3 linked regions of the Oryctolagus cuniculus genome follow. The protein of the gene in region 2 interacts with the protein of the main gene of each other region in a biochemical or structural test. Links are inferred from orthologs where the notes say so. Each region holds a gene or a part of one and is shown on either strand. Other genes may lie near its edges. The genes, in order: TOR1AIP1, TOR1A and TOR1AIP2.

What was found.
Region 1: the proteins of TOR1A (region 2) and TOR1AIP1 form a complex in vitro, tested with the Homo sapiens proteins (2 studies listed by BioGRID and IntAct). The link is inferred for Oryctolagus cuniculus from reciprocal best matches to the Homo sapiens genes TOR1A and TOR1AIP1.
Region 3: the proteins of TOR1A (region 2) and TOR1AIP2 form a complex in vitro, tested with the Homo sapiens proteins (4 studies listed by BioGRID and IntAct, with this or other methods). The link is inferred for Oryctolagus cuniculus from reciprocal best matches to the Homo sapiens genes TOR1A and TOR1AIP2.

Annotation. Positions count from the first base shown.
Region 1 is NC_091438.1:8,030,273-8,033,914, reverse strand, and holds part of TOR1AIP1 (torsin-1A-interacting protein 1), read right to left. Parts: 5' UTR 2,397-3,642; coding exon 1,916-2,396; intron 641-1,915; exon of another isoform or gene 533-640; coding exon of another isoform or gene 418-532; intron 1-417. UniProt on the Homo sapiens protein: Required for nuclear membrane integrity. Induces TOR1A and TOR1B ATPase activity and is required for their location on the nuclear membrane. Binds to A- and B-type lamins. Possible role in membrane attachment and assembly of the nuclear lamina.
Region 2 is NC_091432.1:232,659,122-232,663,217, reverse strand, and holds the end of TOR1A (torsin-1A), read left to right. Parts: intron 1-2,928; coding exon 2,929-3,179; 3' UTR 3,180-3,454; downstream 3,455-4,096. UniProt on the Homo sapiens protein: Protein with chaperone functions important for the control of protein folding, processing, stability and localization as well as for the reduction of misfolded protein aggregates.
Region 3 is NC_091438.1:7,999,636-8,003,277, forward strand, and holds part of TOR1AIP2 (torsin-1A-interacting protein 2), read right to left. Parts: intron 2,720-3,642; coding exon 2,213-2,719; intron 1-2,212. UniProt on the Homo sapiens protein: Required for endoplasmic reticulum integrity. Regulates the distribution of TOR1A between the endoplasmic reticulum and the nuclear envelope as well as induces TOR1A, TOR1B and TOR3A ATPase activity.

The sequences.
Region 1 (3,642 bases), on a different chromosome or scaffold from region 2:
TTAGAAAATTAAACGGGAGGGAAGAATGGTTATCTTAGAATTGTACCTATGAAATACATGAAATTGTTCTCTTTACAACCATTTTTTAAAAGAAAAGATGGACTATAGTGTCAAAAATGATGAAGAGAGCAGCTGGAAGAGTGAAATGTTGAGAAGATATACTAAAATAGAGATCGATTCTTTATATGTTTTAGAAAAGTGCTCACTGCATCAGGCTGGGGGGGGGGGGGAGTCAACACGAGGTAACAGGTGCTTAGCCGGCCTACCAGGTGCCCAGCAGGGGAGGAGAAACAAAATTAACACAAGTCCCTAAGTTACTATTTAGTCAATGTGTTAGGGCCCTCGCCTTCAACAAGTCTCTAATCTTCGGAGAGAGAGAGGCTAACAGAGGTGGCAGACGGTCTTGGGTGTCTATACCCGAGACCAAGAAGTCTTCAAAGGCGTCAGCCGACTGTTGACAGATACGCGACGACCCGGCAGCCGGCCCGCTGACCTGGGCTGACCTAGGCTGACCCTCGGCCTCTGTCTGCATCACAGGGCCCGTGCGCACCTCACAGATGCCTCAGCTTCCCCTGCCCGCGCCTTGGCGGCCGGGCGTGGGCGCGAGGGCCGGGCTTCGCGGGGCTGACCACACTCATGTGCCCCACGCTCACGGGCCACGAGGACACCGTGGGGACTGACCCACACTGACTGTGCCCCACGCGGACACCGAGGGGACTGACCACACTCCTGTGCCCCACGCTCGCGGACACCGTGGGTTCTGACCACACTCCTGTGCCCCACGCTCGCGGGCACCGTGGGGACTGACCACACTCCTGTGCTCCACGCTCGCGGGCCACGCCGACACCGAGGGGGCTGACCCACATTCATGTGCCCCACGCTCACGGGCCACGAGGACACCGTGGGGACTGACCCACACTGACTGTGCCCCACGCGGACACCGAGGGGACTGACCACACTCCTGTGCCCCACGCTCGCGGGCACCGAGGGGACTGACCACACTCCTGTGCCCCACGCTCGCGGGCCACGCGGACACCGTGGGGACTGACCACACTCCTGTGCCCCACGCTCGCGGGCCACGCGGACACCGTGGGGACTGACCACACTCCTGTGCCCCACGCTCGCGGGCCGCGCGGACACCGTGTGGACTGACCACACTCCTGTGCCCCACGCTCGCGGGCCGCGCGGACACCGTGGGGACTGACCACACTCCTGTGCCCCACGCTCGCGGGCCGCGCGGACACCGTGGGGGCTGACCACACTCCTGTGCCGCACGCTCGCGGGCCACGCGGACACACGCCCCCTGCCCAGCGGCCGCCGAGGGGGCAGCCCGGGTCCTCACTTCCATCTCAGTGCAAGCACTTGGGGCGGGGTCTCCACTCAGCCACCGCACTCTCCCGCGAAGCGCCCCTTCTCCGTCCCCCACCTCCCGTCCCTCCCTCCCCACGCGGATGGAGGAGGGGAACGGACTAGAGCGTTAGATCCGATCCCGACTCCTCGGGGCACGAAAGGAAATGGAAGTGGCTCCGCCAGAACCCATCAGCGGGAACTGAAACGAAAGCGAGCCGGAGGAGCGCCCCGCCCGGGAGGAGACCCCCACGCCCCTGAAGCGATGGCCAGGGACGCGCAGAGCTCGCCGGCCCCGCGCAGGGGGTCCGCACGACCCCCTCGCCCTTCTCCCCGACCCGCGGACCGAGGGGGCCCCAAGGCGCGCGCCCGCCCCGCCGGCCCCTCCGGCCCGGGAGGAGACCCCCACCCCCCTGAAGCGATGGCCAGGGACGCGCAGAGCTCGCCGGCCCCGCGCAGGGGGCCCGCACGACCCCCTCGCCCCGTCTCCCCGACCCGCGGGCCGAGGGGGCCCCATGGCGCGCGCCCGCCCCGCCGGCGGCGGCACCGTTCCCTCCGCCGCGCGCACCTTCAGAGGACTGAGAGTCTCGCAGCCCTCTCCGCGTCGTAATCGGAGACGCCTGGGCCGGGGGCTGCGGGGAATGCTGCTGCTGCTGCAGCTGGCGGGTCGCCCTTCGCGTCTTCATCTCCCCGGCGTCCCGGGGTCGCGGCGGCCTCCGCTGCCGAGACCGGAGGTAGTAGGCGCTTTCTCTCAATTCCTCTTTCCCAGAACCGGGCCGGAACTCTTCTGACGGGACTCGCCTTCCCGCCGGAGACCTTTCTTTGGCCACCCGGGGCTCGAAGTCGCCGTACACTTCTGGCGGCTCTTCGGAAAACCTCACTTCCCGTCGGCCCTGGCGCGACGGAAGCGTTCCGTGCGCAGGCGCGTCACCGCCGCCGCCATTTTGCGGGGCGAGCCGAGGCCGTCCCTCCCGAAGAGGGGCCCTGGGCGTGACGTACAGCCCCCACCCCTCCCGCGCCAGCTCCGCCCGCCGCCCCTCGCCCGCCATGGTTGTTGACGTAGCTCGAGTGGATTGCGAAGATGGCTCTGCGGTCCCGAGAGTCTCCCGCCGGCGGTGGCGATGGCGCCTCTTGGGGGTGGGGGGGTGTCGAGCGGTGGTCGCGGTGGTCAGGGAGGCAGCTGAGAGTCGCCGGGGCCGCCGCCTGCGTCGTCGCTGCTGTGCCGCGAAGCTGCCCCTGGGCCCATGGTGTGTCCTGCGGGCTGTGCTAGAGGCAGTGCCTGGCTGGGTCAGCTGCTCGGAGGGTCACTCCCGCCTCTTGGCTGCAGGCACCAAAGAGGAGGAGAAGGGGGAGGAAGACGTCGCTGTCCTGGGCCGCGAGGGAGGGAGCGGCGGGGCGAAGGAGCCGCGGCCGGGCCGGGCCGACTTGCAAGCGCCAGTGCAAGGGTCCTCGCGCCCCGCCTGCTGCGCACTTTTTCTGGAACCCCTTCCCCCACTTTTTTTTTTTTGATTGACAGCTACCTGGCTGTGCCCCCACGACGGTGAGAGGATCAGATACTTTTTGCCTAGGGCATCTGTTCAGGGCGAGTTTTAGTTTCAAACCCCTAATGAAGAAGGCTACCCAGGGCTAAACGCAAAACACCTGCTGGACAGGTGCGACATGTTGGCGTTCTCGCTGGGTGGGTTTCCGTCGGCGAAGCGTGCTGGTAGCAGACGTGCGCCTGCTCCTGGCTTTGTTAGGGAGGCTGTTGGCGCTGCCTGTGTGCCGTGAGAACCGAACGCCTTCTTAGTAACGTTGCGATCCATTTGATGCTGGGAGTGACTTGTGCACTTGACTGATTTCTGACAAAAATACTGGAAAGTACTGGCACTTGGTGATACCTGGCTTTTATTTATGTGTTAAGTAAGTACTGCTTTCTCTGTGAGGTGGCTTTTGCTTTACTCATTACCACGTAATAATGAAAGCTCTTTTAACAGGTGTACTACAATTATTAAAAGATGTAAATTTTATAGGGTTACTAAGGTTCATATGATGAGCATTAATGCATACATTAAGAGGCTTATTAAAACATGTACCGGTACAGGTGACTACGGACTTCTATATAGGCTTGTAAAACGTAGATTTGGGGGGCCTGTTAAAGAGGAGAGGTTCTGTGTCCTGACCCATCAGAGGTGAGATTCGCAGATTACTGAGTAATCAGTACATCTTACTTTGTCATTAAAACGGGAGGTTTTCCAAGATACGAATGATGAGAACCTCACAGTAACTAACACTAGCCCATGTACTGGCGTAGAA
Region 2 (4,096 bases):
AGGATGGCTGTCGGGGAGGTGACCGCTGGGCCCCCGCTGTCTCAGCACTGCCCACGTGTCCGTTTCGTCCCATCTCCTTTCAGTAACCTTGGGGGGAGAAACTGCGGCTGTCCCTAGTGTGCCGGTGAGGATGAGGCTCGGGCAGACGGGCGCCCTGTCCCGTGTCCCCGGTGCCAGAACCGGAGCTTGTGTTGCTCGCTGCTTCTCTCATGAATGTCATCCGTACCTTTGGCCTTGAACCCCGGGAGGTGGAGAGCCGGCAGGACGGGTGCCGACTCACAGACTAAATCCTGCACGTCCCCAATGGGGGCCGGCGGCCCAGAGCCTGCGCCGTGCCAGCTTGCAAAGCCACTCTGGGGGACCCGCCTGGGAATCAGGCAGACCGGCTGGGCTGCTGCTCCGGTCACAGGCAGGTGCCAGATACCCCCAGGCTTACTGAGCACCTGCTAGGTTCACACAGCCAGTGGGGAGAAAGACATTCCCACCCTCACCCAGCTTCCCCTTTTTTATTATTATTATTATTTAAGATTTATTTGAGAGGCAGAGAAAGAGAGAGAGAGGTTTTCCATCCGCTGGTTCACTCCCCAGATGGCTGCAACAGCCAGAGCTGGGCTGATCCGAAGCCAGGAGCTTCCTCCAGGTCTCCCACGCGGGTGCAGGGGCCCAAGCACCTGGGCCATCCTCCACTGCTTTCCCAGGCCACAGCATAGAGCTGGATCGGTAGTGGAGCAGCTGGGACTTGAACCAGCGCCCGTAAGGGATGCTGGCACTGCAGGCAGCGGCTTTACCCGCTACACCACAGCACCGGCCCCCAGTTTACATCTTAATGTCAGTAAAGCCTGTCAGATGGTGGGAGATAACATGTGTGCCCCCCCCCCCACAGGTGTATGTATGTTCTCTTCTTGCCCCCAGCGGGGAGAAGAAACTAAGGAAGGATCTGGGGGTGCTGGGACACGCATAAGCTGGATCTGAGTGGACAGCTCCCTGGGAGGGTGGGAGGGAGTGGGCCGACGAGGCCCTGCAGTGGGCACAGGCCAGGAGTGGCAGCTGCTCCGGGAGGAAGTGGAGGTGAGCAGGGCTGAGAGCGGGGGCGCAGGTTACGGAGGCCTTGGGTTTGATTCCAGGTGGGAGAGGCGCTGAGGCTTCCGAGCAGGTGGTGGCTCGGCTGGCGCTGGGCTGTGCCGGCTGCCGGGGGCGCAGACCGAAGGCAGCAGGGGCCAGGAGACCGGCGCGGTAGCTGTCGGGTGGGGCGAGGTGCTGGGATTCTGGGGTCTTGGAGGTCGAAGTGGGGACTCCCTCGGGGCTGTGTGGGGGAGGAGTGTGGCTTCAGCGGCTGGAAAGGGACACTGGTGCGGGGCAGGTCAGCCGCGTGAGGGTGTGTAGGGCCTCCAGGCAGGGGCGCGAGCAGGAGGTTGGCCGCTGTGGTTTGTCGGGGAGGCTGCGCGGTGGGGGTGCCCCTTTGGGCATCAGCAGTAGGTGCTTGTGCAGCCATGGGCTGAGACCCCAGGTGTTACTTTTTAAAAGATTTCATGTCTTTATTTGAAAGGGTTACAGAGAGGGAGGGTGAGATAGAGGTCTTCCATCCGCTGGTTCACTCCTCAGATGGCCGCAACGGGCAGAGCTGAGCCAGGCCAAAGCCAGGAGTTCCATCCGGGTCTCACACGTACGTGCAGGGACCCATCTCTGGGCCATCTTCACTGCTTTTCCCTGGGAGCTGGTGCCCGTTTGGGATGCCAGCGTTGCGGCTTTACCCGCCACGCCACAGCGCCAGCCCTGAGGTCCCTTGTTCTGCGAAGCTTCCTGTCTTGGCTGGTCTGGTCCTTGTCACTCAGACTGCGTCCGGGGGACACCCCCCCCCCCCCCAGCCAGCCCTCGCTGCGTCTACACTGCTCACCTGGCCCACTCTCCAGTGTCCCCAGCACCGCCTGAACCTGTGAATTCACTGGTTTGTCCCCTGTCTCTGCACCCAGAAGGGGAGACCCATGCGGGCAGCGTCCACCCTGGCTGGCTCTCTGCCCCTTTCCCAGGGCCGAGTGGGAGTCTGCACGTGGGAGGCCTTCCAGCGAGCTGGAGGGGGCAGGCAGCGTCCCAGCCCTCACCGCTCCGTGTCAGTTCTTTCCCAGGGCCACAGGTGAGCCCCGCCCGGCCAGTCCCGCCTTTGGTCGGCACCAGTTGTGTGCACAGCAGTGCTGGTTGGGGGAGCAGGGTCAGAGGACGCTGAAGCGAAACGGCTCAGGGGGAGAAAGCCGTGGGGTGCTGGGCGCCCCGTGGCCGACAAGGAGGGAGCGAGTGTTGGGTCAGGGTTCCAGGAGCCTGGAGGGGGACTGGGCAGGTGCAGCGCCAGCCCCTGTGGGAGGGGGACACACGGCACGGCCCCTGCCCAGAGGGACCAGGTGCACTTGTCTGGCCCCTCCCACTGCTGGGAGCCGATGGAGGCCCTGGACGAAAGGGCGTGGCCGGCCCAGCCCTTCCCTGGGAACCCGCCCCTCCTTTCACTGTCTTGAAACTCTGCCAGCCTGAGAACCAGCTTCCTCCCGGCCGCCTCTGCTGGCCCAGGCCTCCTGGGCCGCGAGCCCCTCTTCACCGGTGGGCAGTCGCATGCGTGGAGCCCCCCTGGGCCGCGAGCCCCTCTTCACCCGGTGGGCGGTCGCGCCCGTGGAGCCCCCCAGGCCCCCTGGGCCGCGAGCCCCTCTTCACCCGGTGGGCGGTCGCGCCCGTGGAGCCCCCCAGGCCCCCTGGGCCGCGAGCCCCTCTTCACCCGGTGGGCGGTCGCGCCCGTGGAGCCCCCAGGCCCCCTGGGCTGCGAGCCCCCTGCAGGTGGCCAGGCGCTCCCTGGGGCCGGTGCGAGGGGCACAGAGCGGCCGGGTGTCGGACAGGACAGACAGACGGCGGAGGGTCGGTGGGGACAGCACCTTCTGCTCCTCGCAGGTGGCTTCTGGCACAGCAGCCTGATCGACCGCAACCTCATCGACTACTTCGTCCCCTTCCTGCCGCTGGAGTACAAGCACGTGAAGATGTGCATCCGGGTGGAGATGCGCGCCCGGGGCTACGCGGTGGACGAGGACGTGGTGAGCAGAGTGGCCGAGGAGATGACCTTCTTCCCCAAGGACGAGAGGGTCTACTCGGACAAGGGCTGCAAGACTGTGTTCACCAAGTTGGATTACTACTACGACGACTGACAGCTGACGGCTTCGAGTGAAGGAGGAACAGCCCCGCCCGGGAACCGGACAAACCTCGTCTACACTGCTCTGAGCCGCAGGCTGTCGCCGCTCAGGGACGGCGGACATGGACGCGAGGCCCTCGCGCCCAGCTCCCACAAGCGATCATGATTTTTTTTAAATTATATTTTAATTTCAAGTGTTTCTGTTTCAAGGAAGGATGAATGTTTTACTGAAAATGTGGTAACTTTATTTAAAATGGTTTTTAACATTATGAGAAACTTTTTAGAATGTAAGCTGTTGGCTTTTATTTTTTTTTTAATTATTCATTTATTTGAAAGATGGAGTTACAGAGGGAGAGACAGAGGCAGGGAGATCTCCCATCTGCTGGTTCGCTCGCCAAATGGTCACAATGGCTGGGGCTGGGCCAGGTCAAAGCCAGGAACCTGGAACTCCATCCAGGACTTCACGTGCGTGCAGAGGCCCAAGAACCTGGGCCATCCTCTGCTACATTCCCAGGTGTATTAACAGGGAGCTGGATCAGAAGTGGGACGGCTAGGGTTTATTTATTTGACAGAGTCATAGACAATGAGAGAGAGACAGAGAAAGGTCTTCCTTCCGTTGGTCCATCCCCCCCCCCCAATGGCCGCTACGGCCGGCACTGCGCCAATTCGAGCCAGGAGCCAGGCACTTCCTCCTGGTCTCCCATGGGGTGCAGGGCCCAAGCACTTGGGCCATCCTCCACTGCCTTCCCGGGCCACAGCAGAGAGCTGGACTGGAAGAGGCGCGACCGGGACAGAATCCTGCGCCCATATGGGATGCCAGTGCCAGAGGTGGAGGATTAACCAAGTAAGCCACGGCGCCGGCCCATATTTATTTATTTTTAAAAAGATTTTATTTGAGAGGGAGGGAGGGAGGGGGAGAGAGAGAGAGGGAGA
Region 3 (3,642 bases), on a different chromosome or scaffold from region 2:
CATGATATGTTCTGAATTTATAATAATCCTCAGCAGAAAACAAAATTAGCATTATGTTGACAATAGTTGAAGATGGATATTGAGAACATAAGGAATGTTATACTGGCCTACTTTATAGATTTAAAAACTTCCATGGTACAGTCCAGCATGGTGGCATAGTGGGCTAAGCCTCCACCTATGGCACGGGCATCCCATATGGGTGCTCGTCCATGTCCCAGCTGCTCCTCTTTCCATCCAGCTCTCTGCTAAAGGCCTAGAAAAGCACTGGAAAATGGCTCAAGTGCTTTGCCCCTGCACCCTTGTGTGAGACCCAGAAGCAGCTCCTGGCTCCTGGCTTCAGATCAGTTAGTGCAGCTTTGGCCACTGCAGCCATTTGGGGAGTGAACCAGCACATGGAAGACCTCTCTGACACTCCATCTCTCTTTAACTCTGCTGCTCTCAGACGAACAAATATATTTTTAAAAAATAAAATTTCATTTTTTTAATTATTGTTTATTTGAAACTCAGAATTACACAGAGAGTGGAAAGGCAGAGAGAGAGAGAGAGAGAGAGAGAGAGAGAGAGAGAGAGAGATGCCCTCCATCCGATGGTTCACTTCCCAGCTAGCCACACTGCTGGAGCTGGGTCCATCCGAAGCCAGGAGCCAGGAGCTGCTTCCGGGTCTCCCACAAGGTGCAGGGCCCCAAGGGCTTGCGCCATCTCCTGCTGCTTTCCCAGGCCACAGCAGACAGCTGGATGGGAAGCAGAGCACCCGGGCCTCAATCCGGCACCCATAAGGGATGCCAGCGCTCCAGGCCAGGGCGTTAACCCGCTGTGCCACAGCACTGGCCCCAAAAAGAAAACTTCCAGAGTAAAAGATTTTAAATAAAAATGTCCACTTTCCCTTCTGAAAAATCTACTTGGATTATTTTGACCCTCTCATACATTCCTATAGGATGAAGAACTTAAGTTCCAGCTTTACCCATAACTAGTAACATTCCCTCCAGCTTTATTTCACAACTCTAAGGATTGTCTGTCATCTCCTTTTAAAGATGCAGTGTATTTGCCGATATCAGGGCTGTACTGTTGAAGTCTCCAGAACATTTGTCTGCTCTATAATTAGGATCTGGCACTGTGGCTAAATTCAGTCGATATGAAAGAACAAGGCTAATCTAACAAATTAATCCACTGAGTGTGATTTCACTTCAGACCTCCAGGTTTCGGTCCCAGAGCCCCTCTTTCGGCCCAGCCCTAGTTTCCTGTAGCACAAACCCCAGTACTGGCCTAACTAGCATAGCAAGTAAAGCTGCCACCTGCAGTGCTGGCATCCCACAGGGGCCCTGGTTCCAGTCCTGGCTGCTCCACTTCTGATCCAGCTCTCTGCTATGGTTGGAAAACCAGCAGAAGATGGCCCAAGTCCTTGGGGCCCTGCAACCGTGTGGGAGACCCAGAAGAAGCTCCTGGCTTCGGCCTGGTTCAGCCCTGACTGTTGAGACCTTCTGGAAAGAGAGCCTGCAGACAGGAATCACTCTCTCCCTGTCTCTCCCTCTCTAACTCTGACTTTCAAATATATAAATAAAATTTTTTAAAGATTTGTTTATTTATTTGAAAGTCAGAGTTACACAGAGAGTGGAGAGGCAGAGAGAGAGAGAGGGAGAGAGAAAGAGAGAGAGGTCTTCCATCTGCTGGTTCACTCCCCTGATGGCCGCAATGGCCAGAGCTGTGCTGATCCGAAGCCAGGAGCCAGGAGCTTCTTCTGGGTCTCCCACATGGGTGCAGGGGCCCAGGGACTTGGGCCATCCTCTACTGCCTTCCCAGGCCACAGCAGAGAGCTGGATCAGAAGAGGAGCAGCCGGGACTTGAAACGGCACCCATATGGGATATGGCCACTGCAGGTGGCGGCTTTACCCACCACACAGTGCCGGCCCCATGAATAAATCTTTAACGAAGTATATTCCTAGAGTTGATCTATGTGCTTATTGCCAGAGGTACACGATGAGTGCAAAGGACACAGCTCTGCTCCCTCTCCAGTTACGTCTACTCTGGAGATGAACGAATGACAGCCCTACCGGAGCAGCCAGGATCTGACCCCCGCGCCCCGTATCAGAGGGGATCTGGGCCAGGCTCAAGGGCCTTCATCTGTGAGACACCCAAGTTCTCGGAGAAGCCCTGACCTGTGCTGCATCCTCCGTAACAGCACCACACCCCTGGATGCTCCTGCGTAGATTCTTACCTGCTGCGGGCTGTCGCCTCCTCAACGCGTCCCGGCTGTCCAGACCTGCGCTGCGAGGACCAGGACCGTGGGCCTCCTGGGAGGCTGCGGCAGGCGCCCCCAAAGCAGCCGCAGCTCCGTCACTCGCTCCCTCGGGGAGGGCCACAGAGCTGCTCCCCGGCTGTGCACCTGCTCTCCCTACCTCGTCGCTTGGAGAACAGTTGGGATCCAGACCCAGGGGTTCTCCCCCCAGACTTCCCCAAGGCACCTGATGTCCTTGTTCTCCATCCGGGACACCGGGCTTGCTCTCAGGTTCTGCTGTAGCCTTGGGATGGTCTCCAAAGTCTGCTGGACCCGGGCCCTCTGCTGTGCCGCCTGCGTCTGCACTTTCTGGACCCTCTTGGTGGTCTTTGTCAAGATCAGAGGCAGGAGGCAGGGCCTGAGTCTCTGCAGGGGGACTTGCTGTGACTGCGGTCTCCTGCGCGTGAGAATCCACTGACGGCTCACTTTCCAAATCCTTTGGAGAGTCTACCGGGATAAAAATTCACAATTTTTATTGGAGAAAATGTCTCCCTATTTTTATATTCCATCAAGGTCTTTGATGGACAACTATATTTGTGGTTTATAAGGCATCTTCCTAAATATTATTTCTCTGGGCTCTCAATAAAGATAACACTAATGTAAAACAATTTCAAGTGATCAAACCAACTCTTGGTAGTATTAAATATATCCCCTTCCGTAACAAAAGGCAATGACCATCAGCGGCAGTAAAACTATTTGTGTAAAAGGTCAATCCAGACCGAAAACCGAAACCACTGATCAACCTTAGTAGCACAAAAACAGGAAAAGCCAGATAGCATCAGTAGCAAGGACACGATTCCTCCTGTGAGGTGTTCTTGCTCAACAACTGGACTGCAATCGCATCATCTTTTAGGACTGACCACCAGTTCCCCAGAAACGCAGGGTAGAGGAACGTGTCTAATCAAGCTTCAGGAATGCAACCAGCAGACCCCGAATGTGGGAAAGTCCAGGAACAAGCCTCTGCTGGGCTGGGGCTGCGGACGCTGCGGGCACCTGCACTCCCTCTGGGCGCTGGTTTGGGTCCCAGCTCCCCTGTTTGCCATCCAGCTCCCTGCTCTTGTGCCTGGGGTGGGGGTAGCCCTGGTGCTTGGGCCCTGCACTCAAACAGCAGAGCCAGAAGCAGCTCCTGGCTCCCGGTTGCAGCCATCTGGTGAGTGAACTAGCAGATGGAAGATCACTCTCCCTTTCTGTCTCTGCCTCTCTGTAACTCTGCCCGCCTTTCAAATAAATCACTAAATCTTAAAAAAAAAAAAAAAAAGACAACTTTTGTTTCTTTAGTAAAGACAAGAAATAGAAACGAATGACAGAAAAGGGTAAAAAAGGCGGGTGATCTATTGAGTGATCCCATCAATCAAATGTTCTGAGTGTAC